Linked DNA regions of Rattus norvegicus. The protein of the gene in region 1 binds, or shares a complex with, the protein of each later gene. Links are inferred from orthologs where the notes say so. Each region holds a gene or a part of one and is shown in the gene's direction. Other genes may lie near its edges.

Region 1 (3,590 bases):
AAGTGTGAAGCCATGTTTCCTCCCAAGCAGACATCTAGACCAAATCCAGTTGTCCATTTACTTAGGGAGGCTGGGGCCTAGACCATGCTCATTACATGAGAGGCCAGGTCCCTCCTACAGCACAGAGAAGAGAATTATCTGTCCTGTATTTATGCATTATTTGTTAGAGATGTGCGTGCTAGGCAAGCTCGCAGTCCCTGAATGATACCCTCAGCACTTAAGGGCAGATCTGTGTAAGAGCAGAGGTTGGGTGAAAGCCAAAGCCATTTGACAAAGTGGTTCAGGGCTCTGAGGCTGCTGGTGCTGGCCCAGGCCTCAGTGTGAGTGTGTGTGTGTGTGTGTGTGTGTGTGTGTGTGTGTGTGTGTGTGTGTGTGCTGTGTTGGCGAGGGGCCCTTCTCTCCTCCAGGATTTTCTAAATCCCTGTGAGATCAGAGTCCATGTGGCATTCATTTCTGTGCTTTTGTTGCCTCCAGAGTCAAAGGGAACTTTCTCAACCTCTGGAAGTTCTCTGAAAAGAAGGATCTGTGTTATCCAAACCCAGATGTCATTGTCATTTAGGGATAGGGATGGAGTGGAAGGAATTGAGGGAAAAGAAGGTGTAATATTGTGTGTGTTTATGCGTGTTTGTGTGTGTGTGTGTGTGTGTGTGTGTGTGTGTGTGTGTGTGTGTGAGTGTGATGATATTCTACCTTTTTTTTAAATACTGAGACGAGAGGCTGGCTAATCTGGCTATATTGACTGTCTACCGCATCAGGGATCCGGATTACTAGCATGTGCCACCATGCCTGCATTTTTCATGGTGCTGGGGCTTGAACTGAGGTCCTCAGGTTTGTGTGGCAAGTGCTTCACACACCTCCCCAGTAAGCTGCCTCCCCAGTCCCAGTTACCACAGTTTAACAGTTATTGCTCTGTATTCTTTCAACAAGCATGCGCAAGATCACTTCCTAAACACCCAGAAGCAATGGGGACAAGCTGTGAACCAGCTTTCTAGGGACACTGCTGAGGAAACCAGATTGAACCTTCCAGACAAGTTACCGTGATCTCATTGGTTTTGGAGTACCCCCTTCCCCCCTTCCATGTTGGGTACCAGGAAACTGAGGCAAAGGGTTCAGCAGTGGCAAAGCTTGCACACTTTGCTGTATCTAGGAGACCTTTGCCATTCTCAGATCCTGCTGGCCCTCACTGCAGCCTGGGAGCAGGGGCTGAGGCTCCCCTGAGTTTCCAGGGCAGCGGAGGCTGGTAGGGTTCCTGACCTGCCCACAGCCAGTCACACAGTCAAACAAGCCCACAGGTGTCCTACCTGCGCATGCTCCAGCCCACTGGTTTCCACAGATGGGTGAAGCTAGCAGGCACCCGTGTTTCCCACACCAGTTTGTGGATGTGTCTTGCCACCGCTTACCTGCCCCACTTCAGAAGCTTCGAAACCCCTTACGAGGGAAGTAGGGATGCCTATCTACTGTAAGGAAGCTGTCCCCAAGAGCAAGCATCTCAGCTGACTACCAGGTCTGGATTATGTCCCTTTCTACTCTGTTTCTAACTTCTATTTGGGCCCCACTAAGAAACATGTAGGCCTGGGGGCCATAGCGGCACATGCCTTTAATCCCAGCACTCTGAAGGCAGTTCGAGGCCGGCCTGGTCTGCAGAGGGAGTTCCAGGACAGCGAGGGCTACACAGGAAACCCTGCCTCAAAACAAACAAACAAACAAACCCAATCAAACAAACTAAAAACCCCACGTGGAGGGGCCTAAGAGTTTGCTCAATTCTCAGCACCCATGTGTCTGTAACTCTAGTCCCAAGGAACCCAGTGCCCTCTTCTGACCTTCTTGAGCACCAGGCATGCACAGAGGCACAGACACGCATGCTGTGAAAACTCATACATTAGGTAAATAAACAAGAAGATATATCCACACACATACACACAAAATAAATATATACTATAAGCTTAATGAAACAAACAAAACAGAAAAGGAAATATTCCTCTTGGAGTTAGGTGGGGTTTCAGGTTTTCTGCTAGGTGTGGCGTGTGTGTCTGTGACATTCAGAGGACGTTCCAAAGGCACAGGCTTGCAGAGCTGGCTGGCTTCCCCTCTTGAACCTCAGCACCTTCTGTAAAGTAGGGTGAATGTCTGTCAGATGAGTTGCTGTGACCTTCAGACCTACATGGGCATGCTTGGTTGGTCTTTTTTTGCCACTGACTGAGAAAGCCTCCTGTGGAAGCTTCGCTTGAGCCCACCCCTTCTCAGTGATTTCCCAGGCCTTGCTTGGGTGCCTCCAAGGGCTCAGTCTCCTCTACTTAGAGCTGACAGCTCTGCAAGTCTGGGCAGGGAGTCTACAGGTTCCTGAGGTCAAGCTCCCACCTCCTTTCTGACCCCGCCCCTGCTTCCTGACCCCGCCCTCACGCCCATCATGACTCTTGACTGTTCTCTTGTCTCTTGCAGTGACTTCCAATCTCTCTCCAAGGAAAATGTCTTCGAGAATAACCGATTGGTGAGTCCTCACACAGATTGAAGCAACTGTGGTGTGGTGGGAGAGGGTAGGGGTCTCTCGGGGGCCGCTGCATTTGGTGAGGGGGCTGGTGCAGGTCCTAGAGGAGACCCTGGTTCTCCTCCTTCCTCACCTCTTCCCCTGGATGTCCTTCCCTGAAGCGGCAGAGCTCTCCTTCAGGCCACCACGTGGGGATGATACCTTTGTCACCCTGTCCCCATTATAGTGAGCTGGGACTAGTCTGAAGTATTCACTAACACTGCCATCTCTGTCCTCTCTTCCCTGCGGCTGCTCCTGTTTCCCCCTTTGCACCTAACTTCACCCTAGGCCTTTGAAGTGGCTGAAAAGGAACTGGGCATCCCTGCTCTCCTGGACCCCAATGACATGGTCTCCATGAGTGTCCCTGACTGTCTCAGCATCATGACTTATGTGTCCCAGTACTACAACCACTTCACCAGTTCTGGCCAAGGTGAGAGGGGACCCAGCCCTTCAGGGAGGCTGCCTTGAGCTGTTTACTTCTTTTCCGAACAGTAAAGAAATGGCCAGGAGACAGCCTGTCATTGAGTCACTGACAGTGGGTTCCCTAGTTCACATATTTATTGCATTAAGCAAGCGATGGTTTAGGTAACCTGCTCACACCTGTAATCTCCACCCTTGGGAGGCTGAAGCAGAGGGATCACCTCAAGTTTGAGGCCAGCCTGGGCCACAGAACCAAACCCTATCTGCTTTGCCTGGATAGGGGAGACAAGCACTAAGCCCAGGTGAGCTCATCTGTGAGTTCACCTCTCCTCACCCACTGCACTTCCTGTCTGCCGTTTCCTGTCCTCACACTTTCCACAGCTTTTTCTTCCTGCCACGCTGGTCTCTTCTTCTGTGCTGTTGCACAGCGCTGTTGCAGAGCCTGCCTCCTCAGCTTGAGAATTAGACACTGGAGGAGTGCGTCCAGGAGGGGAAGACTTCCTTTCTGTTCTGGTCAGGTTCTGAGTGTCCCGGGACAGTGTGGGACTCCCCTCTGCATAGGGGAAGTGAGTCCAAAGAAGGGGAATTGAAGAGGTCAGGAACCCAGCACAAAAGCTGAGGGGCAGGGCTGAGGATCTGGGTGTCC
Region 2 (4,209 bases), on another chromosome or scaffold:
GGCATCAGATTTCATTACAGATGGTTGTGAGCCACCATGTGGTTGCTGGGATTTGAACTCAGGTCCTCTGGAAGAGCAGTCAGTGCTCTTAACCTCTGAGCCATCTCTCCAGCCCCGATAAATATTTTTTAAGATAGAGTCTGTTGCCCAGGCTGGCCTCATATTGATGGGTTCAGGTAGTCTTCCAACTTTTCCAAACATCTGCGACCATAACTGTGTGTTAACCAACTCCTCAGGTGCCTTTTAGACTTCTCCAAGCACCCTTAGATCCTCCTCCCACTTGGGTGACCTGATACTAGTTACCTAACAATCATAGTCCCCAAATCTCTGACATCACCCACAAAAATTGTCACCAGCAGACCAGCCAAGGGGACTTAGGTGTGGCCAGGGATGATGGCGGGTCCGTAAGCCCCGTGGAACAGCTACTAACTGGAAGGAGGTTGGGAATCAGAACTGAACAAGAGGTGGTACTGGTGGTGTCCCTGAAAGGAAAGCGGAAATTTTGGGGCTTTTAATTTCCCCAAAGTTCCCACAACATTTCATTGTTGCTCAACACTTCCCCTCTTCCTTACAAAGGGAATTTCCGATTTCACTTCCTCCAAACTCATCTAACCAGAAAGCTGCAACTTCTTTACCCCATTCCGCAGCTGACACCTCTTGGGTGAGACCTCCCCGCTAGATCACGTCAATTGTGTTGTCCATTGCTTTGTCCCTCTCCCATCAGCCTGAGTGGAGATCCAGCGCACTTCTCCTCCCTTATCAATATTCCTCTTCCCGGTGTCCTGTACTCCCTCGGCTTTCCCTATTCCCGCTGTCCTGTTCTTCTCCAGAGTCGCTAAAACACTAGAGTGAGGAGTGTGGGTTCAAGAAGCAGGGAAGGGGCAGCGCACAGGCTGTCGATGCTTCTGGGAGTTCCTAGCCGGTGGAAACCCTGCAGTTGGGGGAAGCAGTTGAAGTACTTGGGGTATCCAGAAGCCCACGGGTGCTCCAAGGTGCTCAGGCTTAGCACATCTGGACGCTAGTCTCTGGCACCTGCAACTGCAACCCTTCTACGAGGTATCCCTCGAGGGGCGGAGCAAAACAGGTGCGGTTGCCAAGGCACCACAGCCACGAACTCGCGATATTTAAAATCAGCCAATGGGAAGCAGGAGAAGACGTGGCACGCGAATGGGGCGGAGCCTGGAGGGCTCTTCCCTCGCCTCTCCCGCCTGCCCCGAGGCGGCGGCCTGCGTGCCAGAACTCCGGGCTCCGGCTTATAAAGGGGCCGCTCGGCCAGGCTCGCGCGACCCTCAGTAGAGGGCGCTCTTGTGGTCTGTACGCCGGTCCTTGCGCCTGCGCGGTGCGGGCCGCGCCCCGCCCCCTGCCCCTCTGCCCTCCGCCGGCCGGCCGGCCCCTCCTCGGCCGCGCGCTCCAGTCCCGCTCAGCCGCCGCTCGGTCCTGTAGCAGCCAGCTCTGTCTCCGGCAGCATGTTCAGCTGGGTGAGCAAGGATGCCCGCCGCAAGAAGGAGCCGGAGCTCTTCCAGACGGTGGCCGAGGGGCTGCGGCAGCTGTACGCGCAGAAGCTGCTGCCGCTGGAGGAGCACTATCGCTTCCACGAGTTCCATTCGCCGGCTCTGGAGGACGCTGACTTCGACAACAAACCCATGGTGCTCCTGGTCGGCCAGTACAGCACCGGCAAGACCACCTTCATCCGCCACTTGATCGAGCAGGACTTCCCAGGGATGCGCATCGGGCCGGAGCCCACCACCGACTCCTTCATCGCAGTCATGCATGGCCCCACCGAGGGCGTGGTGCCCGGCAACGCGCTCGTCGTGGACCCGCGGCGCCCCTTCCGCAAGCTTAACGCCTTCGGCAACGCCTTCCTCAACAGGTACCCACCCCTTCTCCCCCCAGCGCGAGGACCACCAAAGGCCTCCAGAGCCATTGCCCCCAGCCGGCCTTTGTCTCTGAGGGGCCCCGCAGGACCCTCAGCGATCACTCCCAGGGTCACTGGCCTTGCTGCGTCCCACTAACTACCTGAGAGTAGTTAGGGAATAGGCATTGTCCACTCCTCTGGCTTGTGTCATTCCCAGAACCTTCCAGGTTTTCAATTTAACTCTCAAACCCTCCCGCAGATCCCAGACCTACTTCCCACAGAGCTGGGGGCCACTGTGATAAGATAAGCCATTGCTCTCCTCTCTGCCTCGTTCCTCATTTTGGAGGCACCCAACTCATTCTCATCAACCTCCCTCTTCCACCCGGGTCTGTTTTTTAAGTGTCATGGGAAATCCCGAGACTTAGATGTTCCTTTTGCTGGTCACTCGCTGCTTCACATCTCCTGGGACCAGTGGTTTTGTGTAGGAGGGGCAGTGAGGATATGCTTTGGTCTGCTGATTTGGGGGCAGCCCTCTTTGAAGGGAGGGGATGAAGGAGTCTCAACACACCTCCTAAAAGCAGCACTTAAGTGGATTCCAAGCCAGCCAGGAGTGTATGAGACAACCCTGTCACAAAACAAAACAAAACAAAACAAAACAAAACAAAACAAAAAACTTAAGTCAGTATTGCCTCAAGAGACTTCAGGGGCTGGTAACACTGTGACCCCTGAAATGACCAGACCCATATGCAACTATAGATTTGATAGACTTTGATGTACTCCTGGAGTCTCAGCTTTACCGGTTAAAGGGGTGAGGTGAATTAGAGTCAGCCTCTCAGGATGCTATGAATGAATCACAGTGGCCTTTCCGTGGAGCTTTAACGCCCAGGATCACTTCTTTAAGGGCATTGGGTCATCCCAGACTCCTCCTCTCCTAGGTATGACAGGACTCACAGACCCTGCCCTCTCTGCTCCCTCTTTCAAGGAGGGACTTCCACATGCCTTTCGACATCTGCATTCAGCCTAGGGGAATAACCTTGGAAAGAATCTGAATCCTGCTTTCCAGGTCTCCGCCCTGTATGAGCACATTCCTCTGCAGACACTGTCCAGCCGTACAGGGCGGGCCAGCTTGTTCTAGAGCGAGCCTGCTCTCAGGCCTGCCTCCTTTGGTGGAGTTGATCTTTAATGTCTTCTTGTCCCTTCTAGGTAATTTCAGCCTGTCTTGTTTTAAGATGCTGCTGCTTGCGTGACAGGCCTGGGTTGAATACAATGCTCTAGTCCCCTTAGCCTGGAGCCTTTGCCTAAGGGTGTTTGAGTTTTGCTGCCCCTGTAGGTAGGCCCTTGACTCAGAGTGCTGATGGTCTTGTGAGAAGTTTGGCTGCTGGGCTAAGGAATTCATTCATGCTTTAGGTCTCTGCTTCAGGAGTGACAGGAAGATTTGCTGTTCCAACTCCTGTTATAGCCTCATCATGAGGGCAGACCTCTTTGGAAGCAAGGAACTTGGCATCTCCTCAGTTTTCACCTGTGGAAATGCAGAGCTTAAGGAGCTAGAGCTCTCACACACCACCCCAATAGCCCCCAGTGCAGTAACTCACAAAAGGCAGGCCCTGCTGAACTGTCAAGGTGGAGGCCACGCTCTGTACCCGGTTCCTTCTTGCCCCCATCCCAGTTCCAGAGGGTCTCTAAATGCTGGTGAAGACCAGGGTTGGAACTGTCTCAGGATATGCCTCTGGCCAGGGAGGCACAACAAAGGGGGCTTTTCTCTGACTGATACAGCTTTTCCTGGCACTCTTAAAGGGATCCATTGAGTCATGAACTTGATTTATTAGCCCCCCCCCCCCACTGCCCCCAAGGCTGCTCAGAGATAGTGAGAGGAACAGACGGAGGCAGGCAATCCCAAGAGGGGTTTGTGAGTGCCCTGCCTGCATAACTGGACCCACCCACTGGTCCTGAGGACTGAGGTCCCCATCCTTGTTGCCAGGGAGTTGTTATAACCTCCTGCCTTTCTTGCTGTCCACTTACTGGACCTTGCAGAGTAGTGGGTTCTCATGGACTTTCAGATGCTCCTTTATGGGACCGGTTATGTCTGTTACTTCTCAGAACCAGCTCCACTTCCACTCTGTTTTTCTGTCGCTCTCTCTCCATTGAGTAGAGAATTTCTTCCTAGGCAAGGGGAATTGAGATCCAGCATGCAATGATTTACAACACTGGAGTCTGCTATACTTGGACATAGCCTTTTACTTTGTCATGCTGTCTCCAGCCTGGGGGGAGACTTATCATCATAATTTGGGGGTGTGGAGCCACAGGAGACATTCATCTTGCTCCCCACTGTTAGAATCCCAGCTTTGAGCCTATGT

The links.
Region 2: the proteins of Micall1 (region 1) and Ehd1 are in contact, whole or in part, in an NMR structure (PDB 2KSP), measured with the Homo sapiens proteins. The link is inferred for Rattus norvegicus from reciprocal best matches to the Homo sapiens genes MICALL1 and EHD1. Residues at the interface, in NP_203744.1 of Homo sapiens: Lys422, Tyr424, Asn425, Pro426, Phe427, Glu428, Glu429; in NP_001269373.1 of Homo sapiens: Gly464, Ala467, Lys468, Met471, Asn478, Leu481, Gly482, Trp485, Lys486, Lys492, Asp493, Gly494.

Annotation. Positions count from the first base shown.
Region 1 is NC_086025.1:112,560,192-112,563,781, forward strand, and holds part of Micall1 (MICAL-like protein 1), read left to right. Parts: intron 1-2,439; coding exon 2,440-2,488; intron 2,489-2,812; coding exon 2,813-2,954; intron 2,955-3,590. UniProt on the Homo sapiens protein: Lipid-binding protein with higher affinity for phosphatidic acid, a lipid enriched in recycling endosome membranes. On endosome membranes, acts as a downstream effector of Rab proteins recruiting cytosolic proteins to regulate membrane tubulation.
Region 2 is NC_086019.1:213,007,720-213,011,928, forward strand, and holds the start of Ehd1 (EH domain-containing protein 1), read left to right. Parts: upstream 1-1,393; 5' UTR 1,394-1,466; coding exon 1,467-1,870; intron 1,871-4,209. UniProt on the Homo sapiens protein: ATP- and membrane-binding protein that controls membrane reorganization/tubulation upon ATP hydrolysis. In vitro causes vesiculation of endocytic membranes. Acts in early endocytic membrane fusion and membrane trafficking of recycling endosomes.